Linked DNA regions of Arabidopsis thaliana. The protein of the gene in region 1 interacts with the protein of each later gene in a pairwise test. Each region holds a gene or a part of one and is shown on either strand. Other genes may lie near its edges.

The links.
Region 2: the proteins of AT1G60160 (region 1) and ABCB16 interact in a protein complementation assay, tested with the Arabidopsis thaliana proteins (one large-scale study listed by BioGRID).

What each region holds. Positions count from the first base shown.
Region 1 is NC_003070.9:22,181,863-22,196,527, forward strand, and holds AT1G60160 (Potassium transporter family protein), read right to left. Parts: upstream 9,682-14,665; 5' UTR 9,534-9,681; coding exon 9,291-9,533; intron 9,203-9,290; coding exon 8,974-9,202; intron 8,896-8,973; coding exon 8,647-8,895; intron 8,565-8,646; coding exon 8,514-8,564; intron 8,425-8,513; coding exon 8,164-8,424; intron 8,094-8,163; coding exon 7,926-8,093; intron 7,835-7,925; coding exon 7,580-7,834; intron 7,496-7,579; coding exon 6,468-7,495; 3' UTR 6,168-6,467; downstream 1-6,167. Other genes in the region: emb1220 (pre-mRNA processing ribonucleoprotein binding region-containing protein), read left to right, coding at 11,146-11,148, 11,371-11,433, 11,524-12,554, 12,655-12,725, 12,804-12,912, 13,044-13,119, 13,211-13,315. UniProt on the Arabidopsis thaliana protein: Putative potassium transporter.
Region 2 is NC_003074.8:10,606,513-10,622,943, forward strand, and holds ABCB16 (P-glycoprotein 16), read right to left. Parts: upstream 9,850-16,431; 5' UTR 9,790-9,849; coding exon 9,592-9,789; intron 8,500-9,591; coding exon 8,445-8,499; intron 8,334-8,444; coding exon 8,155-8,333; intron 8,086-8,154; coding exon 7,628-8,085; intron 7,535-7,627; coding exon 6,994-7,534; intron 6,898-6,993; coding exon 6,019-6,897; intron 5,936-6,018; coding exon 4,559-5,935; 3' UTR 4,512-4,558; downstream 1-4,511. Other genes in the region: AT3G28370 (spindle assembly checkpoint component), read left to right, coding at 14,115-14,187, 14,404-14,573, 14,682-14,744, 14,851-14,870, 14,967-15,011, 15,083-15,144, 15,239-15,366, 15,510-15,621 and 1 more.

The DNA.
Region 1 (14,665 bases):
GTATAAGAATAGAGCTCAACTACTACGTTACGCACATCCAGGATTATGTAGGGTTTTAATTCTAATAAAAACCAAATTAGGCTATTAGAATACTTTAAGATTTCTAGCGTTATGGTTTATGTTAATGCCGTCGATGTATCATAGTCATATGATTCAAATTTGCATATTATATATGTTGTCGATAAAAAAAATAGTAAAACAAACAATCAAAAGTTCATAACTAATTAAATTGTACAAATCTATTTTTCATAAAATAATATATATACAAATTTATTAATGTCAAGTGTCAACATATTCAAACTATCAACCATATTCAATTTCACATGATTTTTTTTAACAAATTAAGAATTCATCAATGAAATCACAAACAATTTTATTTCATTAATAAATATATTTTGTACTACATATTGTATATATAACATAATGTATCATGTTTACATAGTGCTCAAAATTCAAAAACAAAAGAAAAAATCTTTATGTTTTGGTCAGTTATCAAAGACTTTAAGATATCATTAATTTTATGATTGATAAAGAGAGAAGATAAATATATTTGACAAGAAAGTGGCACCGATGCTAATTAATAATAAAGAACGTTATCATATCAAATATGATTTGTCGTATACTCGTAACTTACGAATAATGCTATCACTTAATCATTTTAATAGATGTTTTAACTTAACTTTAACCATTATGCGACTCGGCAAAGGTTGTCATGCATAAATATTTTTTTTGTGATTTTATAAGTTAAATGGGGTTACCAGTTACCAATCAAAAATCATAATATTTTTTTTTTTTTTGAATTTAATGTTAAATTATATTTAAAAAGTAAATAAACGTTTATACATCAAGTGCAACATATGATTGAAAGAGTAGAAAATTTTTTGTAAAAAAGCTCATGATCTTGATTGAAACTATAGTTGGAGAGCCTTATCATATCGATAGTCTCCGCTTGCTGCGATTGTGGAAATTTGATTCCTCATTTGTTTGTCGAGCCACCGGATTAGATGAGTCGCTGAATTCGAACGTTCCCCATGTCTTCTACCATTTCTCTCATGCCATATGGTGTGTATGGTTTCCTGGAAGATGTATCTAGCAAGAAAACTCTCTGTTCTGTTTCGCCAAGTAGTAGAGACAGAAGTTAAAATAGTAGACCAGTTTGTTGAGAACTTAGTTTTGTATATGTTTTTGGCAAGATTTTCCCATATTTCTGCGGTGTAGCAGCAGGAGAAAAATAGGTGGTTTCTTGTTTCGATATTGTTGTTGCAGAGTACACAAGTTAATCATAATAATATTGAGCTAACCTGGAAAACAAGATAACAAACCAAAACCTCGTGAAGCAGAAGTTAAATAATATTTTAGTACAGTAAGATATTTAGAATATTTTTTTACTTCTGCTTCACATATTTGGTTTGCTGTCTTGCTTCCCAAATTATTTCAATAGATAACTAAAATAGTTAAAAGTACAAACACTATTATAGCTTAAGTTAAATGTTGAAGGTAACTAAAAAATTTGATAAGAAAAAGAAAAATGTGCAAGTGTAACACTCTTGATTTATGAAGTTTGAGAAACTCAACTCTAATGTCAAAGACTCGTAGTTAATACTTAATAATAGTGCACTATCAATCAACGAATTTTTATCATGCATTAATATTTAATTTTGAGTTGGCAATAGTATAAATTAAACAAGGTTATGGCTAGCTTCTCGCACCATGACTCATGCGTGATGACTGATGAGTAAATGAAGCTCAAAACAAGGTATTGTCCAGTGACTTCAGTTATCTGGCTGTCTACTAACGAACCAAGTAAAAATGCAATGGTATATCACTAATTATACGTATTCAAACTCTAATCTATCGCCTTTAGTTTTCCTCGTCCGACCACATAAATATTAAATGTTGCATTTACATGACAAAATGATTAATTACCACTTATTTTTTCTGAGAGGACATTTTGGTACGAACAAATTGTCAAGTTTTTGAATCGAGGACAAGCACCATAATCTCCACCCATATTATTTATGATGGATAGGTATCAGTATTAAATTTAACATAAGATTTTTTTGTTTGGATGAATGAAAGAAAAAAATAACAAAAAGTTGGAATGTAATACACATATAATCATCTATATAAAAAAGGTTTATCAAAATCATAACATACAATTATTTGTATGTGGTAAATAACATACCCCGATTTATTGATTAGGTACTAGATCCTCTTTTACTGCCAGATTATGTCTATCAAATCTTGAAACAATAGTTTTGACAAGTAATTTGCATTGTGGTGGTGGAAGTGTAGATTTATTATATTTAGACTATTCCAACATACCAGAAAACTAATATTAAAAATTATTTCTAGTTATTTTTAAACATCACACATTTCATTCTCCACAAAAAAAATGAATTCTGTCTTTAAAATTCAACTAATTAACCAACTGTAAAATAACAAAAACTAAGGAGTGACTTGACAAAGATTGTGACTGTAATTTCCATTTTTGTAATAAATTTTAGATAACTAGAGTTTTTACTGTATATAAGTTTTGGATGTAGAAATTCTAGCAATAAAATTAAACAAAATCTACTTAATGTATGGTTATTTTGTTCTCAAATGAATTATTTTTGTTAAAGGTTTTAAAAGAATCCCATTATTATGGATTCGTTAGTATATCTTCCCTATATTGGTTTATGAGCAATTGTTGTCATTATATCTCAATTGTTTGTAGTTTTTAGTCTTATATGTATAAAAAGAAATTTGTGAAGGTGTTAGGTGTCTCAAAGTTTAGGTTCGAATTTTTGTGGTGTTTAAAGAACGAAAAAAAAAAATATACTATGTTTTGGGCACGTGGTCGCCACGGGGTACGTGAATAGACAAAAAACATGCGTTGGTGGCTTGTGGTGCTGTGACGACGGTATGGGTCCCACTGGCTTATCCACTTCGCCGCGTTTTTCGGTTTTAGCTCATAAGGTGGGACCCACACTCTTAATGGCCTGATCCTCATCTTCTCACCGACGAAATATTACCATAAACCTAACTGAGTTGACCAATTGGGCATTTTTTTTTCATTTTTTCAAAGTTTCTACTTTTTTTATAGGCTCTATTTTAAACGTAAAGATAATTATTATGCGAATACCTTAATTTAGAGGATTACTGTCAAGTTACTATCAATGCAAGGCAACCAACTATCTTAATTTTTTTGTTAATTATATTAGCTATTTAACAAAAAATTTAATTGTTTGCAGTTATAAAATAATTAGAAATTGTCGTTCAATATTTACGGATATAACTGGTAGACATTATTAGAGTATGATAATTTATTTTTGGTGGATTTATACCTTTCTTTGTGTTGTTTTTCTTCTGTTCATTCATTCCTCTCTATTACAATGTAATTACTCTAGTATCTTACCAATCATAACCTCTACATTTGTTTTTACACAACGATACACATCACGAAATTTGAAGTCTATAATTTACGTGTGTAATATTTAACAAGGAGTCAAAGAAAATCTTACGCAGACCCACCAAAAGAGATTCTAATTAAAAATTTCTTAATCAATGGTCTGATATTTATATACAGTCACAATCACCACAGATCTTACAATATCAACTTTATTTGTCTCTTACCTTCCTAATTCTTTTTGTAATGAAAATTTACTTAATTTTAATATATATGAAAAACTTTTAAATGACAGAATTATAAAAAATCAGGAAAATAATATTTTAATACAAATTATTAAAATAATTTCCTAAATAATATGTCAAAATTTTGAACATCATTAAAAAAAATGAGAGAGAGTATATAAACATGATACGTGTACGGTGTACCCAACCCTAGTCGGCAATGGTGACACCAGGAAAGAAACAAATAAAGATAAATGTTCATCTTTTCAAAAGGACAAAAATTAAAGAAGATAGCACATAGAGATAAGAAAAGGAAATGGAAAGTTGTGAAAATGACCTAACGAGTGGATAAATATTAAATACAGACTAAGCAGGAATCATAAATTGTCTTGGAAGTTATAGACAACCGTGCAAGTCTTTTTATTATGGGCATAAATCAAAGGCCACTTCAATTGTTCTAGTTCCAACCTTTGTCCGCAAGTCGACAAAACTAATATCATGTCTATTTTTTATTTTATTTTTTTGAAACTGTGGGTTGTGTGTTGGTGTAAGATTACTATTTTTGATCAATCATCCTTTTTTTGGGACCGATAGGTATGGAATTCGGATCGGATTTTTGGATTTGAAGATCTTGTCTACTTCTAGTTAAGAACACTACTTACTCGCAAAACTGTATCTTAAAAAAGACGTGGTACAATGAGATACGAAATTTATTAAGAGACGTGGTACAAAGAGATACTTTTGTTTTTGGATTAAGTCAAGATGCATCAGAAATTACTGTAGACTGCTTTTTGGTATGTTTAAACTTAAAACCAAATAGGGATATTATAAAAGAACGACACAAAATTAATCGGCAAAAGAAAAAACATATTAGTTGAAACGAAGCAACACAATTTGTTTAGTTTATAATATTTTGGTGAATAGTTTGTTTTGCATTACAGAATGCAATTACATTTTATAAACTTATATGGTTAGTAAACAAATTGTGAAGGTGTTACAAATTTTCTCTCTTTATATGGTTACTAAAAAAATGTGAAATGTGTTACAAATCCCAAATTTCCTCATTTGAAAGTCACCAATCAAAACTGGTAATGTGAAAGAATTAAGGACAATTTATCAATTTAGTAAGGATATTAGATATGAGTCCAATTTTTTAGACCAAACATCAGTCGAATAGACACCAATGCACCCTTCCACTGATTTTCACTTCAGTTGTTTTCCCTAGAAAAAAAATTGCTTCAAAACCCGACTATTTAGCTCGTATTGCTACAATCCATTCATGTAATTTGCGGTCTGGTTGTCGATGCCACTAGTTTAAGTTATTTCTATTTATTAACAACTCTTTAGGTGAAAAGAAATAATCTCTCCTAACTCACAGTTATCTTCTAAGTTACTCTGCTTCAATATCAAATGTTTATCAAGTCTTGAAAACCAAGGAGTTATTATTAATTTTACCATCCAAACATTTGTTTAAAATAACTAAATTCCCAATCACAAAATTCTTGAGTGATTGTTTCAGTTTGTAGGTATATTACTATCACATGCACAATTTCTAAACATGTTGCACATGTACGTGGGTTTATATATAATGTAATTCAAAGACATGCCAATGCTTAATTTCTTCACTTTGATAGAAACAAATAGTGTACATGACATAGCATACACATAGAAATTAGCAGTAGATACAAATTGTTATTGGATATCAAATCGATAGTTGCATAAACTTCAATATACAACTATATTATGTTTTTCTTTTATTGTTTTAATTTATCAACTAAGAGATTCCGAACAGAAAAATCTATTTATATATTTTTAAACGATTCGAAGCAACATTAAATAATTTATTTGTACTGTTTGTCATTTAATCATATGATTTCTTAAATTATTTCTGAATATTTTTCCAATCAAAGTAGCAATTTTTAGTAACTATACTATGTTATAATTTGTTTGTTCTATAATAGTTTTGACAGTGATGGAAAAGAGTCTATTTATCCAGAAAATGACCCCTTCGACTATAAACAAATATAAATGATGGTTGTTATTCAAAGCATAGGTGAAGGTGTCCCTTCACTTTGTTGTATTGACTTTTATTTAATAAGTAATCCAAACTCGACCAATACGAATAATCTACTACATAAACATATATGAGAGTTTTATTTGTACACTCGTCTTTTGAATTTGACATTTGTATGTGAAGCTGTCACAAATTTTGTAATATTTTTAGTTATTATAAAATATATTGTGGAGGGGCAACTTAACATGTCACTAGCTAGTAGCCAAATTAAATTCAAAGATTTTTGTTTAATGAGATTTTTAATTAGAGCTTTAAGTGACATAAAGGGGATAAAAAGAAGCGCAGTGAGTTACAAGTAGGATTCACTTTGTAATTAGAAATTTGTTTTTCGACATTAATATGAAAAAGAATGTCACATTATCTACTTTAACATCCAATCAAAGACTAACTCAAATCCCACTTACCTATTGGTCTCTATGCTTCTTTAACAAATATCTTTAGTTGAAACTCAGATTATTCAATTAATATGATTATAAACCACCATGCGAATTTAGTAGTGATGCAAAAAATATGCACATCTAAACTCAATTATCAATTTTAAATTTAGCAACACACTAGACTATAATCACAAGTGAATTTGGTATATTTGTATTAAGTAGTTGATACACTTTTATTTCCCTAAGTATTAGAATATAAATAATATTAGGAAATCTTCAACCTTTGCTTGTTCCTTACGGTAACGACAGTCACAGACGTCAACCGCAAGAAACAAACCCTAATTCATGGAGATATCCAGAGGAGAAATGTTCCAAAGAGAGTATAGCTAAAGAATCATACACTAGACCATATAAGTCATCCCAGCTTGCAAGATGTTCATATGAGGAACAGTGAGATTCGCAGCTCCAGCTCTGCAATTTCTCCTTAGAAACGCATAGAAGTAATTAATCACAAGCTTCTTCACGAAAATCGAATTCTTCTTCGCCCTTACATCTCCATGAGCCAGTAAATACGTTAGCCCCGAGTCTGTGGCTTCTCTCAAAGCCGCAAGTTCATATTCCAGAGCTGGATCTTCCTCCATAGACGACCCTACGCTTGAAGATGGCAAAACCTCTGAATCCAACTCTTGCTCTGGCTCAGAACGCTTTGCACGGTGGATGAGAGGAGCCATGAGGTCGTCCGTGTAAGTATCACTTGCAACGGAAACTCTATCGGGATCAAAATCATTCAGAGTGCTCTCTAGAGCATCCTCTAATGCTTCACATCTCAAGAACTTCTCTAGACTTTCAATAAGAAGCTGTTCAAAGACTCTAGAATCTTCTTTTCTGACATCTTTGTAACCATACCTCGCAATGCACCTGAACATATGGTAGTCCTTAGGACAAACCCGTCTGAAGAGGAACCTCTCTTCTTGAGGAACAACCGGGACAGGAACATATTTGATGCAGACAAAGATGATTGTTGAGTGAATCGCAGGAAGAGTGAGCAAGAACTGTCCAAAAATGGAAGGTATACCTTGGACAAGCTCGTTATAAAGGAGTCCAATCCCAGGGATTCGAATGGTCCCAAGAGTTGAACCGAGCTCACGCATAAAATCCATGGAGATTCTTTCCCTGACCTCGCTTTGGTACTTGAGTACACTTCCGTAGTTCCAAATGTACATTACAGTGAGGAAGAAAGTGGCGAATACTAGCGGAACCCAACCGCCTTCCAATATCTTGGTGAGAACAGCTAGCAAGTAAATGGTCTCCACTGATCCAAATATAAGGGGAAAGCAAAGGGCGAGAAATATATTGGTTTGCCAAATAAGAAGCATCACTAGAGTTACCAAAACTGTGCTAACCATCATTACACCTACCTCTGCTATGCCTGAAACAGGAAAAAAGAAGAAAAAATATCAAAACGAGAAAGCCTTTTCAGGACTCTGCGTAGAAATCAAACCGAAAGACTGACCGTAAGCATTGGCAATGTGGGTTGTGCTTCTGAAGATGGAGACGACAAGAATGCACATGATCATCAAGAACCAGTTGATAACTGGTATATAGATTTGACCTATCCGTTTCTTAGAAGTGTGGATTATCTTCAGCCTTGGAAAGCAACCGAGAGCCATGGCTTGTTTGACGCATGAGAAAGTCGCGGAGATCATGGCTTGGCTAGCTATCATAGCAGCTAATGTTGCAATCACAAACACCGGCCAGAACAAACTCTCTGCTCAACATTGCATTTTATCACAACTTTCAGAATTTTTGACATCTAATATAATCAAAGCTGAGAGATTAAGGATATATTGAACTATTACTTGGAACTGAATCATAGAATATGCGAGCTGAGGCCTCGGGATGCTTTGTTAGATAAGCAGCTTGACCCATGTAAGCTAAGAGAAGGCATGGGAACACCACGCAAGTAAATGCCATCTGTATAGAACGAACTGAGAAATGTCCTAAATCTGCAAACATTGCTTCAGCTCCTGCGTAGTTTTAAACACTTTGTAAGAAAGGTTTGATTTATTTTAGAAGTTGTTAAGCGTGTTGACTTACCTGTTATGCATAAGACACATCCACCAAGAGCAGACCAAGCCTGTTTGCTATTCTTGTTGAAGAACAAAACGATATAAAACGGGTTTAGTGCTCTTATGACAGTGAAGTCATACTTCAACAGATTATAGATTCCAATAGCACCAAGAGAGAAGAACCAGAGCGCCAGAACTGGAGCAAATAGAAAACCAACTTTACCCGTCCCAAACCGTTGTATGCTGAACAAAGCCACGAGAATCACAATCGAAGACATAACCAATGCATCTGACAAGAACAACACATCAAGATTGAAAATCAAAGATCAAATTGACATCAAGACATAGAGAGAGAAATCATGTGATAATGATACCCACTTGTTCCAAATCCTTTAACTTCACCTTGTAGACCACTCATTGCAGACATCACTGCAGAAGAATCAAAAGGAAGATCAAATTCCAACTGTAAATGCAGCTCAAGTTACACTGTATTAATACAAATAAGACTCACCTGACATAGCTGGTGTTAGAATTCCATCGCCAATAATCATGGAAGTTCCCATTAGGACTAAAAGCAAAAGAAGAGTTTTCAAATACCCTTTTGTCTCCAAAGCTTCTTTAATCCCCAGAGCTCTTTCCAGCTCAGGAGTTGGGAGTTTAAGCCTAAAACTCGAGATCTGCTCATCCGCAGGTTGTTGATTTGGCAGCTTATTCACCTTTGCATACCTACAAATAAGTGAATACAACGCAAATGTCCCTCCTGCACACATAACAAACATATCCTGAGAAACCACTTAAATATCTCACTTTACTAAACACATCGGTGCGGAAGCATTACCTTCGCCATTGTCGTTAGCTTTAAGGACTACAAATACATACTTTGCCAAAGGAATCACAGCAATAGTGTAGATAACGAGAGACAAAGCTCCAAGAACATCAACTTCTGATCTTATAGGAACTTTACTAAACACATCACTGAACACATACAAAGGACTTGTTCCCATATCACCATACACAACACCTAACGTCTGAAACGCTATTCCAAGTGTAGTCAAAAGTGACAAATCCTAAAAAAGTTTTCATTTTTCAATGTCAATAACACAAACACAACATGTGCACTTATAAAAATCAAAACTTTAATCATGGGTGATTAACCTTGAGATTGTGACCATGAGAACCTGCAATTTCCATAGCTTCAACATCAAGAGAATCAGCTCTTTTGGGTTTTTTCATTAATCTTCTCCTCAAATTCCCAAAACTATAGTCTCTATCTCTGATTTCTGAAAACAGCGGCGTTTCAGAGTCTACCTCGCTTCCATCAACCCATCTCCGGTCACTACTTCCGGTACCAACACGTCTTATGCTGTTGTTGCTGCTTCCTTCTTCAATTTCCTCCATTATTTAGAATAATCCTCCAAAACGAGAAGAAGCAGAGAAACTAACAACTCTGTTTTCTTGAAAGGATTATAATTTTGGTTGGAGGAAAAATTAGAAGAGATTGGATTGGTCATTGTTATTGGTTGAGTGTGACTTCACTCTCTGACAATATCTCACGGGTAACATGTTCATAGTTACTGTCAAGAAACAGACAATTATTTGAACTACTTTAATAACGTTCCCAATGAAAACACTATATTTTTTTTTTTTTTTCCTCGATTATCTATCCTTATCCTATAAAAGTATTTTAGTTCCTTCTTTCTTTTGTTATGTATAATGGAAATTTACTTTATTCAAGAAAAAATTTACTCTTTTTAGTTTCTTTGCTTTTTTGGTAGCAACATTTTCCCCAATGGAGAACAAGGATCTCTGTCTCAACCATTTTTTTAGATACATTTTACTCTATTTTATTTGATATACAATAGATTTTAGTTTAATTTTTTGTTGTTTCAAGAAACACATTATAAAGAGAGAATTTTTTTTTTTCGATGGGTGAAAATTTTGTTTTATCAAAAAAAATTGTTGATTTGTAATTGTAATATAAAATTTGCTACATATGTATAATTATTTTAATCTATATATACATTTTTGCAGCCACTTTGTGAAATAAATCCTCAAGTTGGGACTTATTTACAGTGGCTGCCACTGACATTTAATAATTATTTTTGATAATTAGAAAGTAAATCTTCGAATTAAATATTTGACATTTAACTATCTTCCCGAAATCTCTCCATATTAACTACACAATTAGTTACTAAAATAAAACTTCCAAAATATTTAATATCATTTAAACACTACAAAATTATCATTTTTGATATTGCTTTTTTCATGACTATAACAATTCGATTATAAGCATCAAACCGCAGAAATATTTGATAGCAGTTAATTACTACAAAATTACAAAATATTTATACAATGATTTATAAATATATCATAAATAAAATCAACATTAATAAAATAAATAGGTTTCTTTTACGGGACGGGTTTGGCAGGACGTTACTTAATAACAATTGTAAACTTTAAAATAAAAATATTTTATATATAGATACAATTTGCAAATTTTTATATATATTAAAAAATTAATTATCCCCGCGGTGTACCGCGGATTAAAATCTAGTGTGACATAAAATAGAACTGAAGCAAACCTAAAGAGTAACTTCCTTTTGTAGAAATATAATTATTTCAACAAAAGATTGTATAGTAAGATATTTTAAAACGGAAATTTGCAGAAGCCCATTTACTAGTGTTAGTTTCAAAGAAGGCCCATTAAAAAAGGCCCAAATATTGCCGGCTTCGAAACTCGACTTTTTTATAGCACACAAGGTTTCAACTGAAAACATTCCTCTTCGCCTTCCTAAGGAAAAAACACTAGTCGCTCGCTGCTCTTCAATTTTCTTCTCGAATCTAATCGATTGATTTCTCCTTCGATTCTTCAGGTAACTTTTGATTATCCTCCTCTAATCAATTGTGTATATCCCAAGCTTTCTCTATAAATTAGGGTTTCTGAATCAACGATTTTTCTTTTATCCGTAGGAGAATCACTGAAGCTTTTGCCTCCCAAGTAGAAAGAGATATGGTAAGCGTTTCTTTAACTCTATTTTCTTCATTGTTTCAGTTATTGGCGATTGTATTCTCTGTTTATTGTAATCGTATTGTGTTAATTTTGATTTGACTCATCTTCTCTAAAGTTCAATTTCAAAATTAGGGATTCCGAGATCATAGATATTGCTTTGTTTCCGAGATTTGAGTTATTCTTAAGCTTGTTTTACTAACTTTCAATATGTTGGATTTGTTATAGGCAACTCTTGAAGATTCTTTCCTTGCTGATTTGGACGAGTTATCTGACAATGAAGCAGAATTGGTGAGTGTTAAAACACTTTTGATTACTATTATCTGTTTACTTGGAGGAGCTATGATTGTAATTGTAGTTTGTTTGATTATACATATGCAGGACGAGAATGATGGTGATGTTGGAAAGGAAGAAGAAGATGTTGATATGGATATGGCTGATTTAGAGACACTTAACTATGATGATCTCGATAATGTTTCTAAGCTGCAGAAGAGTCAGAGATATGCTGATATTATGCATAAAGTAGAGGAGGCTCTTGGGAAAGATTCTGATGGAGCTGAGAAAGGAACTGTCTTGGAAGATGATCCTGAGTATAAGCTTATTGTGGATTGTAATCAGCTTTCGGTCGATATTGAGAATGAAATCGTTATTGTCCACAACTTTATCAAAGACAAGTACAAGCTTAAGTTTCAAGAGCTTGAGTCGTTGGTTCATCACCCTATTGACTATGCATGTGTTGTGAAGAAGATTGGGAATGAGACGGATTTGGCTCTTGTTGATCTCGCTGACCTTCTTCCTTCAGCTATTATCATGGTTGTTTCAGTTACTGCTTTAACTACGAAAGGGAGTGCACTGCCAGAGGATGTTTTGCAAAAGGTGTTAGAGGCTTGTGATCGGGCTTTAGATCTTGATTCCGCAAGGAAGAAGGTCCTTGAGTTTGTTGAAAGTAAGATGGGATCTATTGCACCTAATCTTTCTGCTATTGTTGGGAGTGCTGTTGCAGCCAAACTCATGGGGACTGCTGGAGGTTTGTCAGCACTTGCTAAAATGCCTGCGTGTAATGTTCAAGTTCTTGGCCACAAGAGGAAGAACCTTGCTGGGTTTTCTTCTGCAACGTCTCAGTCCCGTGTGGGTTATCTGGAGCAGACAGAGATTTACCAAAGCACGCCTCCTGGACTTCAGGCTCGCGCTGGCAGGCTCGTGGCTGCAAAATCAACTTTGGCAGCAAGAGTTGATGCTACTAGAGGGGATCCGTTAGGGATAAGTGGAAAAGCTTTCAGGGAGGAGATCCGTAAGAAGATTGAGAAATGGCAAGAACCTCCTCCTGCAAGACAGCCTAAGCCACTTCCTGTTCCTGATTCTGAACCGAAGAAAAGAAGGGGTGGTCGCCGTCTAAGAAAAATGAAAGAAAGGTAGCCTTTTTCATCCTACTTTGTGTCCTTAATTACTGTAGATTGAGTTCTATTCACCTGTATTTATTTTGTTGCATTCTTACGTTTCTCTTTAAATCAGGTATCAAGTAACAGATATGAGGAAGCTGGCCAACAGAATGGCGTTTGGTACACCTGAAGAGAGCTCCCTCGGTAATATATCTTGTAGTTACACTTGTTAATGGCCACTTATAAGGCACTTAGTCTAATATCTACTCTTCATGATGATAGGTGATGGACTAGGAGAAGGTTATGGAATGCTTGGCCAGGCAGGAAGCAACAGGCTGCGAGTATCCAGTGTTCCGAGCAAGCTTAAGATTAATGCTAAGGTCGCCAAAAAGTAAGTGTTCCTCTATTTCTCCTGTGTTTTTTCGGATTTATCATGTTAATATTTTTACTCTTACAAATTATCCTGCCCTGTTCTTCTTCCATCATATCTCATTTGCGTCTTTATATCAATTACTTTTTCAGGCTTAAAGAAAGGCAGTATGCGGGTGGTGCGACTACCTCTGGTTTGACATCGAGCCTGGCTTTCACTCCTGTGCAGGTACAAACATTTCATTCGATTCTTGACAAAAGTTTGATCCTGTGTTCCATTTGCATCACTGTCTGACTCCAATTGGTTATCTATTTGACAGGGAATAGAGTTGTGCAATCCTCAGCAGGCTTTAGGATTAGGAAGTGGGACTCAAAGCACTTACTTCTCAGAGTCAGGAACCTTCTCGAAGCTGAAGAAGATCTAAAATATGGAAGACAGAGATACAAGTCTTGAAAAGCCGAGCACTAAAAGTGTAAAAATGAAACAAAGGTGGAAAGAAACTGCTTTCTCTATCTCATGTCTGTTTTAAGGTTTCTTCGGTCACTTAAGAGACAAAAGGCATTGTTTTGATCACTCTTTGGAAACGTTTTATAAATTTTATTTTTGTATTAGAGCCATACCTAAAGATCCATCTTCTTATTACCATCATACATGACACAAGCCATTGCAGGTTTTAACCACTCTTCGAACATAGTTAGTAAAAACAAGAAAAGAAAAAACACTATATTTAATTGAGGTTCAATCAAGACTAAACCAAATGATTCACACCACTCATAGTCTCAGTGTGGTTGAGAGCACAATCAAGACATTATTCTTCTGAGAAAATGTTGGAACAAACTCTTTTAACTTAGACCTAAGGTAATGTTCGTTTAACTGAACGACCATCTTGTCTAATATCTTTGTGTTTTTAAGCATAAGTTCCACGAATAAAGTCACTCTCTTTGACCCTAAATTCGAACGGGATTTATTCCAAAAGACCCCATCTTTTGATCTCCAACATTGATTCGGATTCAAGCCTTGCAAGTCCAAGTAGTTGTCAAAACACCTACCCTACACAACAGAAGAGTAAACATGGTTCTTGGATTATTAGAAGGAAGGTAGTTAGAAGGTAGGCCATGAAAAAAATCAAAGAAGTTTGTGGTAAATATACCGGCATGATGTTGCCATCACTTGGACGAACTGTCACCGTCTTTAAATCAGGTGAGTTTTGTAAAAGTCTTTCTATACCAGGAATAACATACTGAAAGATATCTGTCTCAAGAGTCAAAGCTTTTGTCTTGAACATCGGGAAAGGAAGACCGCAAACCTCGGCAAGAGATAAAATCTAACACAAAGATAGATAGTCAACACCAAAACGCATATTGATGAGTACCATTAGTCCATTAGTAAACTTATATAGCATCGGTAAACGTTGAGTGTGCAACCAACATAAGTGAAGTAAGTAAGAGAGTACTTGAAGACATTGGAGAATGCAAGAATGAGCCCAAAACATACCTGAAGAATGTTGCACCCAAAAATAAGCTTCTCTGCATTCTGCAACTTCTCTAGCATTTTAAGAATGTCTTGAAGTAAATAAGCGTCGAGGGTCTTTAGATGTGAGTAAATGAAACAGTCCACTTGAGCTTCATCTAAAGACGAGACATCAACTAAAGCACATGGTGACTGATAGGTTTTCAGTCTGAGACGATGGATATGCGGTGCCACAATCTGCCTTGGCCTCGTATTGTCAATGTTGCAGGCTATTTCTAATGTTCTCAAGCGCAGCGATTTGCTA
Region 2 (16,431 bases), on another chromosome or scaffold:
ACCAAAATCGTGTAGTAGAAAAATTTACAGCATTCAACTGATTTTAGTATTTTACAACTACTACATAAATAGCAGATACTGTATGTATCAATTAGTACTAATCCAGTGATTCAACCGTTTGTAAAAACAATATATAAACAAGTATTTAACATTTTTTGTTTTTCTTGTGTGTAACATGAGATTGTTCTTTCTTATTCTTAAGCAAGTCCCCAAGAGGGTTTAGTTGATCCATTATTTTTCTTTGGTCTGTTCTTTCTTGTTTTTTGTTTGTTTCGCATGCGCACACTACATAGCACATTCTCTTGTTTGGCATGAAGTAGTATGAAACAAAGAAAGAGAATATAAACTTTTTTGGTTACTAATAACTATGTCCAACAAATTTCTTTTGAGGAGACGTTTAATCTCTTCAACGTGTTTTCCATTATATAGTTTACAATAGTCAAATTCGCAATTAAGTCCTAGCATCGAAAAAAAAACATTGAGATGGTGGGATCGACGTGGCTTCTATGTGAATCCTATGTGAATTTATTTGTTCACAGATTCTCCAAGAACAGTCCCATCAACTCTTTTGTTTGGCCTTTTTTCGTATGGTTGTATATATACACATTTTGATAAGGGAATATATTGGACGATAGATAGTGGAACACATATTTATGCATTCCATAGCACTTTAAAATCTTAGGTTTCTGTCCAATAACATTTGTATTTTTTTTCTGTAGTGAAATATAGAGTGAGCATGAGCTCCTTGGTTATCTCTCGATGTGTTATGGTCGTTCGAAGTCGATGTTCAATGGTATTTATAAATCTATTACATAACCAAAACATTCGACATTAAGCAATCGGCAATCCTCCTCATCCTCCAAAACCTCCATTAGGAGCTTTTCCTAATTCGTCGCCTAAACCTAGTTTTTTTCTTGGCGGAAATATTAATTCTCACCTTCCTCATCCATTCTCTATAATTCCTTTTAGTGAATATTAATGACTCGCATGATCATGTTTTCAAGTTGTCATTCACGGACGAGACCTAGGGAACTCAACATTTTTCTACCATTTCATCATACAGTATTAAAGTTTTATGGGATTTTAATTCAAAATCAACTGTTTATGACTGGATATTTTATAACTTACTTTAGAACACATTCCAATATTCTATGTTGAATTCTAACCATACCCTCTCGAGCTGATGATTTTTGTCAACCATCCTTGAATTTAATCTTACATGCGAAATAAAGCGGCATTTTCTTTCACTTTTTCAATTATTTTGTTTTCCCTAAATATTGGTTGTATATGTATGCAAAAACAATGTTTTACAACTCACTGACTAAAAAAGAAAGAAAAAACAAAACAAAAACAAAACAATTTTCAACAAAAGTTTTAATAACTGAGGAATCTGAGAATATTCAAATTTTTATTTTTATTGAAATGTACAATTCATCATTAATAACTAATAAAAATGAAGAAAAAAATCTGAAATTTATATCTTTTTGTAACAATTTTGTTCTTTCTAAAATTTTTGATTAATAAGGAACCGAGGATTTGGATTTATAAACTTATTTGCTCTTCAGTTATAACAAAATCAACAAAATTTTATATTTTTATTCTACCAGATATATCATATAATGGGGTAACACTAAGTATTCGTTTGGGGAAATAAACTTTAAAAAAAAAATCGAATTTACAAGTTCTTAAAAATGTCTAATTAATTTCCTCAATATATTTGAGCTTAATAGTTTGGGCCCTTATCGATATGGGCCTAAACCCTCTCACATAGACGCGAACAGTTTTAGAAAGGAACCGAGATATTTTTTTCAGTAGAGAGAGCTTGAAGTGAACACACGAAGAAACCATGGCGGGAATCGATACGCAGAAGCAGCTTCTCTCTCTGATCCGCGATTTCACCTCTGAAAGATCTCGTGGAGGTAAGATACTTCATACATTTTGTACTTCTTCTGGATGTTTCGCGAAGAAGAAGAAGTCGGAAAGCGTGTAGTAGAAATTCGAAACAAAATCGAACAGATATACATTGTTGGTTATTTCTAGTTTTTGGTGTAATCGGAGAATTTATTTGTTCTGATTGTTTGTGGTTTTTCAAATTAAGAGCAAAGAGTTGTTGGATTGAAGAAACGGATCGAGATTTTACAATCGGAAGTTGAAGCAGCGAATTCAGAAGTTGAGCATGCGAAGCGTATCAAAGAAGTAGCGGAAGAGGAGCTTAATGGTTACGAAGTTGAATTGTCTTTGAACGATTCTACGATTCAATCTCTCGAGGTTTTGATTTAATTGGCTTTTGGGATGAATAAGAAGTTTTGGTGTCTAATGAGATTGAAACTGTGTTTTATGTTTAATTTTTAATCACATGCTAGGATCAGTCTTCTTCAGGATGAAGTAACTACTATTGGCAATGAAGTTGATGCTCTTAAGGTTTGCCTACACATTGTTTCTTTGAGTTTTAGTGCTTGGTTGGTTGATTTCTTCGTTTGACATTCTGGAATTTTTGTTGATGACTTGATGGTTGGTGAAATATAGAACAAGGAAGGGTTACTCAGGTGATTTTGATCTTTCTAACGTCTTAATAAGTTATAGTTCTTGATTTATACCTAGGTTATGTTTGGTAAATTGTTTATACTCTTTGTGATATACAGAGATCAGTTTATAAGCCAAATGGAAGAACTGAACAAGGAGATAAGGTTATTTTCTATTCTTTGCGTTTTCATCTTATGATGTTGCTACACATCTTAAGTTGCTTGGTTGGTAAAAGGGAGTTCCAGAAAACAGTAGATTCGAGTTTGGCCGATGAGGATAGTACTGGCATAACCGCAAGTGAGTAGCTAATGTTTGCAGTTTACTCTTCTTGTCTGATTTTTCACTGTGTTATTAAGAGATGATGGCTTCTGGATGAGTTTGTAATAGCAGATATCAAAGCTTTTGAGGATTGCTCTGGAGATGATTTAGAAGCTATTAAGAATTTGCTATCTGATGTACATTCTCAATTGGCGAAAGAGGAAGAAGGATACCTGGCTGAGCAGAAGATGCAAGAACAGGTAAAATGGACCAGGACCAAGTTGCTTGAATGTTGTTACTTTGCTGCTCCTAATACCTTTTCTAGCTTATCAATTCCCTGTTTTTTAGATTTTGTTTATTCATACTATGAAGAGAAGAAATGGGGATCAATATCGGTTTCTCTATATGTAGCTGCAGAAGGAGTTTGATGAGTATGAGAAAAAAATGTCACTCATTGAGGCCATAACAGAGAAAACAAATTCAGTTCAAGTTCTTGCTAAATATCCTTAATTCCGCTTGCTAGTGAAACATGATTTATATACTCATAATTACAGTTGCATAATCATTTATCACATTTTCACCTGCTAGTTCTGTTCTTTATTGAGGCGGCATGTACTGTACTCTACAGCAAGGCAATTTTTTCCTAGGATAGAAAAGCAAGCCAGTGCTTGTACTTTTCAGGTTGACTTGCCATTCTTTCAAAAGAATAGTTCCCTTGACAGAAAACAAGCAGACGTCCGAGTTGGAACAGATATTGGCTTCACTCGGGGAGGAGCTGCAAAAGAAATGCCGATGTCAACAATGCCAAGCAGAGAATTTGGAAGTTTTGAGCTTACTTCTTCAGGGAGATCAAGTATGTTGACCCTTACCAACTATTTTTCTCATTTCTATATACCATTTTCGACATGCCATGGAATTACTGGAAACAAATGCATTAATGTTTTTATGGTATTGGTCAGCATGATGTATCCGTGTTCAGATATCTCTCTACCTGTACAAAAAACTATTTGCTGTACCAAAACCAATGAACCCTAACCGAAATCTCAAGAGTTAAGAAATATAGAAAGCATCAATCACATATAGACCTACCAGATTTCTCTTAGACAGGTTGAAGCAGCTAGTGTCTAGTTCAGGCTCATAAATAGATTTTTGTAGTCTTCTTAAACAGGATACTCAGGAAAAGACATCATATATATATATAGATTCTGATCTATTTTACCTGGAATTCTCATCCTGAAAGTATGTAGGCATGTCCGCATCTGTATAGGTAGGTACTTTGACTGCTACGATAATAGTGAAGAGACTGATGATGATCAGAGAACCCGTTCTCACTTGGCTATGAAAGCGAGGAGAATCTGTCAACATGACTAAGATTGCATTGTCAAAGTTTATTGTTTCTGTAAACTTTGATATGTACAAGTTTTTCTTTTATCCATTGTAGGATAAGGAGGTGTCTTAGTTAAAGCCAATCTCACTTGTGGTTGCTTGAGGAAAGATTTATTTACTCGGTCCCAAGATGGTAAGACATTGACTTTTCACCTCTCAGGATCTAAGAAACCACTTGTCTAGAAACTTAACCAAACGTGCAATGATGAAGGAAATAATACTAGTCCGTAGCTAGTTTCATCAACAGTGATCATGTTCTTTGGTTTTAAAAGGTATAGACGCAATGAACCCCAGCATTATTTTTACACCAACAACTAACAAACCCAATAATACGTCTACATGGTAACATGCTTCATGTTTTAGGCTTGTGAAACATATGTGAATTTATAATTTATACATATCTGACCTTTCTCTGAAGACTGACCAATGAGAAATAAGAGCCTGTGGGACCTTTTGCTAACAAGGAAGCGTGTGTCCCACTTTCTACAACTTTTCCTTTGTCTAAAACAGCAATCGTGTCGCAGTTCTGGATCGTGCTAAGCCTATGTGCGATCACAACGCTTGTTTTCCCTACCATCACATGTTCGAGGGCGTCTTGCACTACACGCTCTGATTGGCTGTCCAAAGCGCTTGTAGCTTCATCGAGGAGCAAAATTGATGGATTCTTTAAAATCGTTCGGGCGATAGCTATCCTCTGTTTTTGACCACCAGACAATTGTACTCCTCTGTCTCCGCAGTACGTATCATAGCCGTCTGATAGTGATGTAATGAACTCGTGAGCGTTTGCCGTCTTTCCTGCCTCGATAATCTCCGACTCGTCGATCTTGTTAGATGCTCGTCCATACATTATGTTTTCTCGGATTGTCCCCGCGAATAATGTTGGTTCTTGACTAACCAAAGACATGTGTTGACGAAGTGATCTTAGATGATACGACCTTATATCACGGCCATCGATTTTCACAATACCTTGTAACGGGTCATAGAACCGTTCGATTAACCCGATTACAGTTGACTTACCCGACCGACTTGGACCTACGATCGCTGTCGACTTTCCCTCGTGGATCTCTATGGAGAAGTTGTTGAATATAACCATATTAGGTCGCGTTGGGTAAGCGAAGTCCACATTGAGAAATGTGATTTGGCCCTTTATTTTTTCTAAGATATACCCATCCGGATTCTCCGGCTCAATGGTGGTTCGACGATCTAACACTGTGAATACTGAGTCAACTGAATTTGAGCCCTTGGCTAGATCTGTCGTCATTGTCCCAGCTTCGGCAATAGCCCGGCCTGTAGTCTTAAAGATCAAAAATAACTCAAAGAATGCTTTTGATACCATCTTCCCATCAGCGATTAATTTACCACCATACCAAAAATTCAAAGCTGAGGTGCACGTTATAAGGCTTTGCGTAGTCCCCAACATAATCCCAGCTAACCATGATTGGCGGGCACTTTCTCTTCGTGGACCTTCTTGAACTCTCTCGAGTAATTTCATGATCCGTTCTTGTGATGAGAAGGTTGTGATGGTTCGGATGTTGGAGACAGCCTCTGCAGCTAGTTTACTGCTTTCATCTTGGGCAATGATGGCTTTTTTCGACATGTTCTTGAGCAGAACACGTTGAATATAATAGCAGACAATAATTACTGGTTGTACTGAAATCATCACAATGGTGAATCTCCAAGCGATGACCAAACCAATTGTGCAAGCTACCATAACTGTTGATATGGTTTGTACCAGCAATGACATTCTTTCACCAACGAGCGACCTTACCTATCATGACAAAGCAATTCAAGATCAATAAATGGTAAATATATTTCTCATTGAAGGTCAAATTAATAAGGCAGAAAATATACCACGTTAGCATCTTTCGCTAGTCTGGAGCAAATTGCACCACTTGAGTTCTCTTCCTCATCGAACCAATTGACTTCAAACGTTAGTATCTTCGAGAGCATCTGTTCTCGGATACGTTTAGTCAGGTATTCTCCCATGTAGGAAAAACTATATTGTTGACTGATACTAGTAAAAAAAGTGAATAGAGCTAGACCAAAAAATAATAACACGTAAATTCTTGTATTCTCTTTGATCTGCTCATGGTTGGTTAGGAAAAATACCGATATCATTAACCCGGACGAATATGCGTAAATTGGTTGTACGGCCCCACCTAAGGATGCACTTAAGCAACCACATAATGCATGTTTCCACTCTGGTCTATTCATTGCCATCAATCTCTTAAACGATGGCACAAGCGGCTTCTTATCTTGAGGAATCGAGTCAGAAAGATTCGTAACAATGCTTGAACTCATGCTATGAGCCAAGTCTCTTGGATTATAATCCAAATCGTTTCTTAAACTCGAGACTCGGCCCTCTTTCACACCTACGCTAGTGTTATCACATGATTCTTCATTCTTCATTTGTTGTAAGCGAACTAGAGAAGTGTATTTACCATCTATCTCCATGAGTTTGTCGTGCGATCCAGTTTCTACAATGCAACCATTATGTAGAACACATATAATATCAGCATTACGAATGGTAGAGAGACGGTGGGCAATAACAATAGTTGTACGACCAACTGATGCATTGTCTAAGGCTTCTTGGACCACCCTTTCAGATTCTAAATCCAATGCGCTTGTTGCCTCGTCTAGGAGAAGAATTATCGGTGATTTGATTAACGCTCGTGCAATTGCGATTCTCTGCTTCTGGCCTCCCGACATATGCACTCCTCTCTCCCCAACCTTTTCGGTTTACACAAAAACCAAATATACGTTCTCATTAACAAACTAAACACAAAAAAGGCTTTAAAAATTTACTCTAAAGATATGAGTCTAAACCTGAGTTTGGTAACCATGAGGAAATTGCGAAATAAAATTATGAGCATTTGAGGCCTTGGCTGCTTCCACTACTTCATCAAAGGATGCGTCCTCTTTACCAAATAATATGTTCTCCTTTATCGATGTGGCAAAGAGCGATGGCTCTTGGCTAACCATACCCATTTGCGATCTCAACCATTTCACTTGCATATTATTAATGGACACACTATCAATGAGAATATCGCCTTCGTTCGGGTCATAGAACCTTTGTAAAAGCGATATCACTGTTGATTTTCCCGATCCACTTCCGCCAACCAGAGCTACAGTTTTCCCTGATGGAATTTTCAGACATAAATCATCAAAGATTAGGGTTTCGGGTCTAGACGGGTACTTGCACTTCACGTTGTTGAATTCAACTTCTCCTCTTATAGTCTCCAAAATATGACCATTCAAGTTGTCTGAATCTATATCAGGGACTCTTTTTATCATTTTTTGAATCCGTTCCCCTGCCACAAACGCCTCGGAGAAATATTTAAGATTCGACAATGCTTGACCAAGTGCTCTGCATAATGTAAAATACCAAATATCAAAACTAAGAGATGTTTTTTTTTTTGTGTGTTAGGAAATGCCAAGAGACTTAAACTTAAATACTTACGTGCCACCAAAGGTGACGCAAACTGTGACTGTGGAGACAGTACCACCTTTGTAGCCATAGTTCATAACCATCCGACTTCCATACCAAGTCAAGAACCCCCATATAGCATAAACTATACCATTGCTCCCAATAGCAATTCCTTTAGCTAGCCCTTGTCTCAACCCTAGCTTCACCGACCCTTGAAGCGCATCTGAGAACTTTTCTATCATCTTCTTCTCACTAACAAATGCATAGACGGTTCTAACCGAAGAGATGGCTTGTTCGGCGATAGAACCAGCTTCATTGTACTCCTCACGTATTTTCCTCGAGATGCCAATGAGGGCTCGTCCGTACATTAGTCCAGGGATCAAGAGGAGAATGATGAATGGGAAGCCTACGATTGTGAGTCTCCACAGCAACATGAAACCCACTATGTAGCTTCCGACAAACGCAGATGCATTCATCAAAATGTTTGGTAACTGTTTGAATTCAAAATCATCAAAAAAATTGTTTAAGAACAAGAAATATGATAAATAAAAATTGAAAACCTTTTCACTGAGGAAGTCTTGAATGACAAGGCTGTCACTAGAGACACTGGTAATAATATCAGAAGTGCTTGTGACATGAAGATCAAAGTAACCCACATCTTGTCTTAACACTGCTCTTAAGTACCTTTCTCTCATTTTTGCTGCTTGTCTCTCCCCTGTTCTTGTCCAACAATATCCTTCTGTTTTAAATATTAAACCCATCCACAAAATTAAACAAAATTTGTTATATTGAGGTGCACCAAATTAATATTTTAATTTGATAAAAAAAAAATTGAAAGAAACACACTTACCAAGGAAACATATCACCCAAGATGCACAAGCCACATAAAGCATGGCTAGAGCATTCTGTTAGTTACAACGTGAAAAAAAGAAGGAAGATACTATATTAGTACTCTTTCCTATATATTTAAGTAATGTAATTGATATGTGGGGCAATATAGTAATCGTAATCTTACTACACGTTGAGTTATAGTAAGAAGTTTAAGATTATGTAATAAAATATTTGGGTTTTCACATTTCTCTTATTGCTATCCCTATTTAACATACACATATGGACATATATGTAAGACGATAGTTTTTTATTTTTTGAAAAAGTCATAAGCCGATCGTTTTAATTAAGAATCCCACCATGCTTGGTCTACTTGGTCATGTCTAGTTTTGATTTTCCATTTTAAGGTAAATTTCTTGGCTGGAATTTGTACAACTCTCTGTCATCATTACATGAGAAACCACTTGTTATGTCTACAGTCTACTCATTGGAAAAAAAAAAGTCTACTCATTTAAATATTGTAATTTAGTTAATTCTATCATAATTGTTGGATTATTGCTAGTTTATTTGGCTAAAATAATCTAACTACACCCAGTAAGCCAATGTTCAATTGCCTTTTTGACCCGCCCTTCATAATCCAGTCTATCTGCTTCTTCTTTGAATGTTTGGTAGTAACTAATTTATGGGAATGTGAGAAATATTTTTATTTAAATTGGCTATGAACGTATTAAATAGCAAAAATATATGTATTTTAGTCATCATTTTAGAGATTAGCATGGCTCTCACTTTCAGTCTCGAACTCTTGCTTACCAACTTTTTTAGTTATAGAATATAATATCCTATGGAAATTAAACTAAATTCTTTGAATTTAAATTTTAATGAAACAAAACTTTTTGTTTATCCCCTTAACCTACAAAATCAATTTAAATAACATTAAATGAAAAAATAGCATTGCTTAATTTGCTTTACTCTTTACAACTCAAAGAATATAAAATTATATAAAACAATTCATGTAATATTTAATTTTTAAAATACTATAATTTAAATATATATATATATATATTGTATTATTGTATATAATCTTATATACTTAAATTAGTATTATGATCCTACTTAGAGAGAATATAAACCAAAACAAAGAGAAAAGAAGAGAGATAGAGAGAAAGGACCTTGGAAATGGGTTGCATGAAGGTTTCATCGTTGAAAGAGAAACTACCGAAGTCGTTCAATAGCATGGCTGTGATGAAAAAAAGAATAGGAGTGATGAAGCCATCACCGACGGCTCCGATTAACCCTAATCCCATCAACATCCAATCTACACCGTCGGCATGCATGAATATTGATCTCATGCTTCCCCATGTCTTCATCTTCTTCTCTCTTTTTCTTCAAGAACAAAAGATTCTCTCTTTTCATTTATATTTGTGGATTTTTTTCAAGTGTAATGTTATTTTTTCCGTCTTCCTGATTGTTCTATATATAGTAGCCGAGACAGAGCGACTTCACCGAAAGTGATATGATATGATATATATAATATTATTTGTTAACATCTGTTATATACCTGCAGTACCTATTTTAATTCGGTAAAACTTATACAACTCCTCGCGAAGACGCGAACCAGGCTCAGTAACCTAGCTACAAGAAAACAAATAAAATAATATATGCTGAGTACTTCAAGGCTTTAAGCTAATAAATTAGTTTTCAAAATTTAATTTGTGTATGAACTTCAAATACTTTCGTGTATTGCTGTTTCTTTTTCTTTGATAAACAATTAGGTTAATTTCTTCATTAATTCACAATGCTTTTGTAAAGATATTGATTTGATTTTACGACATAACGACGAACGTCAATATCAAAATAGTTTAAATTTCTCATACCATACAATTTTTTTTTTTTTTTAGGAAACATACTTATTTGAGTTTTTATTGCATACTTTCGCAAAGTTAAAGGGACTTCTCATGATTTGGCAAAATGACCGCAATTTTTCTTGTGGACGTCACCAGCGACTACTCGATTTAAAAAGATAGTACAGGAGATTGTTTAGCATGTTATTCTAGACTCAAATTTTATGATCTAATTTTTATAGATGTCTTTCTCGCAACATTACAAAGAGAACACGGCAAATTACGTCGGTTAATATTAAGTGTAACGTCAGTTATATATAAGCTGACTTAAAACTTCTACCGTCAGTTTGGAGACCGTCGTATTATTGTATGACGTTAATATTGTCTCGCTTTAAAGTCAATTACAAAGAAGCTCGTAAAAGTTCTTAAGCATAAGCTAATAAATCAAATAAACAGTTTAGACTCTGATTTATGTAGTGGACATTTATTTTAATGGACCTTCATATATTAAAAATTTTACGTTGGTTTACGAAGTGAAGCTGGTAAATCGACGTCATCCATTTTCTGTAGTGAAATCTTATATGGACAATCACTCTGGGAGTGTTGTTAAAAGTTTAATGTTTGATTGGAAACAATAGTAAATTGCTAATCTCTTTAGCTTATACTTTATGAAAGTGATTGCTAATCTCTTTAGATTATGCTCTTTCTTTTAAAGATTCCATGTTGCCCACCAAAGAAGACAGTAAAAACGACTCGATAGTGAACCAGAAAACCAAGAAATATACAATATGGAAGTGAAATATTATAATCAATGCTTCCTCTCTACCACCATGTTTATAATTCCATGTTTTCCACTGCCAAAGTGTGATTTCTATCAAGAGATTTGTAGTTCAAAGTCTTATAATTAATCAATAGAAAAGTACGTACTCAACAAAATATGCAATACATTCTATAATTTCAATTACAATAATTATTTCTGAAAAAAACGAGAAACAATAAAAGGATTTCAAGTAGTCCGAACTCATCTAGAAAGCTAGAGAAGACGGGTCAATCAACAAGACAATGCATCATCTTGATCAACTCCGCGCAATCAGTCTCAAAATCTAGTCTCTCGATCCCCTCAAAAAACATGGTTTAAAAACTCTAAATAAAGAGAGACAAAACTAGGGTTGGCAATCCTTCCAAGATCCATCCACTTGAAAATTTTCATGTGTTATGGACCTTACCAGTTGAACTATTACATCGGCAAGTTAATTGAGCTTCCTTCCAAGCCTTGAAATCAGATATAGTATGACTTGAAATATCTGATGGCTCACGAAAGTCCATGTGAGATATCACAAATGAACTTCTTTGTCCGCTTACAAAATTTCAAAAACCTGATTTTTTTCCAAAGATAACTAATTAAAAAGCCGATGAGATTAGAGATAAGACCCACGTTTATAGTGAAAGATGACATTTAAATAATGTCTGCTTAACTCTTTCCTCATATCCTCCACATCTTAGGTAATATCACGAAGAAATCATCTATCTCTTAAGTCTCATGTCATGTCAATATGCTATTTTCCTCGTATGCTGAATTTGTCACTACTGAAGTTCTTGCTCGATATAAATGTTATTTCTTTTCCCAAGTGGATGACATGACAAAAGTGACAACGCAACGTAGAATTAGGGCAACTATCTATTTTACTGTTTTAGTTATATAGTTGTTATCATAGTTTTTGTAACGTTCTAACCGCCACTATGACCCCTTTAAAACTTGTAAAAAATATATAGAAGAGTTACGAAAATTAGAACTTTTCCAAACAAGAAATAAAAATTAATAACACACCCAATAGTTGTACGAAAACCATTTCCGTTAAATCATTACTAGAACTTTGTTTATTTTACTACAAACTAAATTATGTAAAAGGTGGTATCTTTGAGAGAAATATTTTGAATTTATTAGTGTATACGAAAACCATTTCCACTTTATTAGTCGAATTATGTATAAGATAGTCGCACTAGCAGATTGAGAAAAAGATGTCCACTGGATTATTGGGAGTGATCGGTATGCACTTTAGTTTAAAAGTCCTAAAGTCCTCTAAATTTACTAATGGATTTTTTCAATTTTGTATTCATGTTAATTACGTCTGGTTAACTCTTTCCTCATATCCTCCACATCTTAACTAAAGTTGTATCACGAAGAAATCCTCTATCTCCAAAGTGTCATGTCAATAAGCTATTTTATTGATGAGACGTTTAATCAGTTTAACGTGTTTTCCATTATATAGTCAATTTCAGTTTAACAATAGTTTACAATAGTCAATTTCGCAATTTAACTCTTAGCATCGAAAAAAATAACTTTCAGATGGTGGATTCGACGTGGCTCCTATGTGAATCCTAAGAACATATATTTGCTCATAGATTCTCCAAGAACAGTGCCATCTTTTGTTTGGCCTTCTTTTTCGTATGGTTGTTTATACACATTTTCATAAGGGAATATATTGTACGATAGATAGGGGAACAGATATATATATATATATATACATTATATTTTTGTGGGATTTATGCATTCCATAGCACTAAAAAAATCTTTTGTTTTTGTCCAATAACATATGGAGTTTTTCTCTATCAAAAATCATTTTATACTTTAAATATATCATAAATATTTAAATATATATGACCCTGTAATTAAAATTTATGCTTTAAATGTATCATTTCATACTATATTTTCTCTATTAGAATATAGGGTGAGCGGAGCCAGAATTTTTGTTTACGGATCATAAATATTTAATTATTTTTATTTAAATATAATATGATATGATATATTTAAAGTATAAATTTTTAAGAAGAGATGAACTACAAACAAAAATCTGAAACAAAATGTCTAAAACAGAAGAAACAAAATTAATATGTAAGAAGATGTTAGAAATTTTTATCCATTTTGAAAGAAAAAAAAAATAAAAATGGAAAGAGGATTAACATTTAATTGAAAAAATGAAAATGCATGGGTCAAAGGCATGGTTCTAGTTTCTACCATCATAAAAAAGAGGCATGATTCTAGTACTATTTATGGGGGTCATTATGACAACTTTAAAGAAAAACATCTAGAAATCATTATCTACGTTATAATTAAAAAATTATAAATGTTATGGGGGTCAACTGACCCCCTTGCCAATACACTAGCTCCGCTACTAGAATATCCCTATGCTCCTCGGTTATCTCTCAATGGATCATGATCGTTTGGGTTGATGTACAATTGTATTTATAATTTATGACATACAACCCCACAAGTTTTTTAGGCCTGTTATTAAAAAAAAAACGTAAATTTGAACTATTATCTTTTGAAATTAAAATCTATTGTTTTTACTAATAGGACAAGAAAATACTTTTAAAATGCACGCCGATTATATTGGCTATATAATCTATGGCCGCACGCAGATGCTTCATCAATTTTTGTCCAGGGCGGCTATGATGACATACCATAACGTTTGCTACTAACTAATCTCCTTCATCCTCTAAAACATCCTCCCACTGGAGCTATCACTAATTTGTCGACTAAACCTAGTTTCACATTCGTCATCCACTCTCCATAATTCCTTTTAGTGAAGAAGATTCACCTGATCATGTTTTGAAAGTAGTCATTCACGTCAATCAAATTAAGTTTCATGAGATTTAACTGAAATATGGGTTAGATACAATTTTCATGACGTCAATTTTCATAAATACAGTTTCGATAACCCTCGATAATTTGGGCCTCCATAAATATGGGCCGATATTTCTAATTTTTCGCCTCTCTCATAGACGCGAACAGTTTTAGAAAGGAACCGAGATATTTTTCTCAGTAGAGAGCTTGAACACACGAAGAAACCATGGCGGGAATCGATACGCAGAAGCAGCTTCTCTCTCTGATCCGCGATTTCACCTCTGAAAGATCTCGTGGAGGTAAGATACTTCATACATTTTCTTCGTTTTCTGGAGATTTCGCGAAGAAGAAGAAATCGGAATGTGTTTAATAGAAATTTGTACAGATTCTGGAGAAGATGATATAGATTTCCATTATTTTGAGTTTTAGTTGTTGATTGTATGCGATTTTGATCTTATCAGTCTCTGTAATTGGAGAATTTATTGTTCTGATTGTTTGTGATTTTTCAAATTAAGAGCAAAGAGTTGTTGGATTGAAGAAGAGAATAGAGATTTTACAATCGGAAGTTGAAGCAGCGAATTCAGAAGTTGAGAAAGCGAAGCGTATCAAAGAAGTAGCGGAAGAGGAGCTTAATGGTTACGAAGTTGAATTGTCTTTGAATGATGCTACGATTCAATCTCTCGAGGTTTTGATTTTCTTTGGTTTTACTTGATTTTCTACGATTCAATCTCGATGAATAAGAAGTTTTGGTGTCTAATGAGATCGAAACTGTGTTTCGTTTTTTTTTTCTCAGGCAAGGATTAGTCTTCTTCAGGATGAAGTTACTACTATTGGCAGTGAAGTTGATGCTCTTAAGGTTTGGCTACACTTTGTTTGTTGAAATTGTTAATGCTTGGTTGGTTGATTTCTTCGTTTGATATTCTGGAATTTTTGTTAATGACTTGATGGTTGGTGAAATAAAGAACAAGGAAGGATTACTCAGGTGATTTTGATATTTCTAACGTCTTAATAAGTTCTAGTTCTTGATGTATACTTAGGTTATGTTTGTTAAATTGCTTGTTCTCTTTGTGATATTCAGAGATCAGTTTATAAGCCAAATGGAAGAACTGAACAAGGAGATAAGGTTATTTTCTATTCTTTGCGTTATCATCTTGTACCTGGTGTAACACATCTAAGTTGCTTGGTTGGTAATAGGGAGTTCCAGAAAACAGTAGATTCGAGTTTGAGCAGTGATGATGGTATTGGCATTACAGCAAGTGAGTAACGAATGTTTGTAGTTTACTCTTCTTGTCTGATTTTTCACTGTTTTAGTAAGAGACGATGGCTTCTGGATATGTTTCATAATTGCAGATGTCAAAGCTTCTGAAGACGGTTCTGGAGCTGATTTAGAAGCTATAAAGGGAATGCTATCTGAAGTAAATTCTCAATTGGCAAAAGAGGAAGAAGGATACCTGGCAGAGCAGAAGATACAAGAACAGGTAATGTAATAGGAGTCAATTGTAAACTTTGCTGCTTCAAATATCTTTTGCTAGCTTATCCATTCCCTGTTTTTTAGATTTTGTTTAATCATTCAGTGAGGAGAACAAATTGGTATTTGATAATTTGGTGTTTCTATCTGTAGCTGCAGAAGGAGCTTGACGACTATGAGAAGAAAATGTCACTCATGGAGGCCATTACAGACAAAACGAATTCAGTGCAAGTTCTCACTAGATATCCTTTAATTCTGTTAGCTGGTGAAGCATAATTTATAAAATGATAATTACGGTCGCAGTAATCATTTATCACATTTACGCCAGTGCTTGTACCTTTCATTTCGATTTGCCATTCTTTCAAAAGAATAGTTTCCTTGACAAAAAACAAGCAGACTTCTGAGTTGGAACAGACATTGGCTTCACTTGGGGAGGAGCTGCAAAGGAGATGCCGATGCCAACATTGCGAGGCGGAAAATTTGGAAGTCCTGAGCTTACTTCTTCAGGGAGATCAAGTATGTTAACCCTTACAAACTATTTTTTTCTCATTTCTAAATAACTTTTTTGAACTACCACCAAGATACTGGAACCAAAAGCTTTTACATTCGTATGTTATGGGCTTATCTGGAAAGTGGAATGTTGACAACGGTCTGGTGTATCCATGTTCAGATATTTTCCGTTTCTCTAGTTTTTTTTACTAAAACCTATTTGAAATCTGTTAGTGTAAACCTTATTACAGAAACCAATAAAACTTTTAACCAGAATTTCAAAGTTAAGATAGAAGGCATCTATCACATGTAGACGAACCAAGTTTCTCTTAGACAGATTGAAGCAGGCAGTCTCTAGTTAAGGCTCATAAATAGACTTTTGTGGTCTATTGATCATCTAGTTTTCACTGATACTGCTTTGTAAAACGTATAGTCAAGAAAAGACTCCGTATATATGTTCTGCTTCATTTTAGCTGGAATTATCATCCTTAAAGAATGTAGACTTGTGTTTGGGTAGCTATGATTTTAAGAAGCATACTCTCTGTATATGAGTTACCTTTCTAATTTTGGGCACTTCGATTTTACC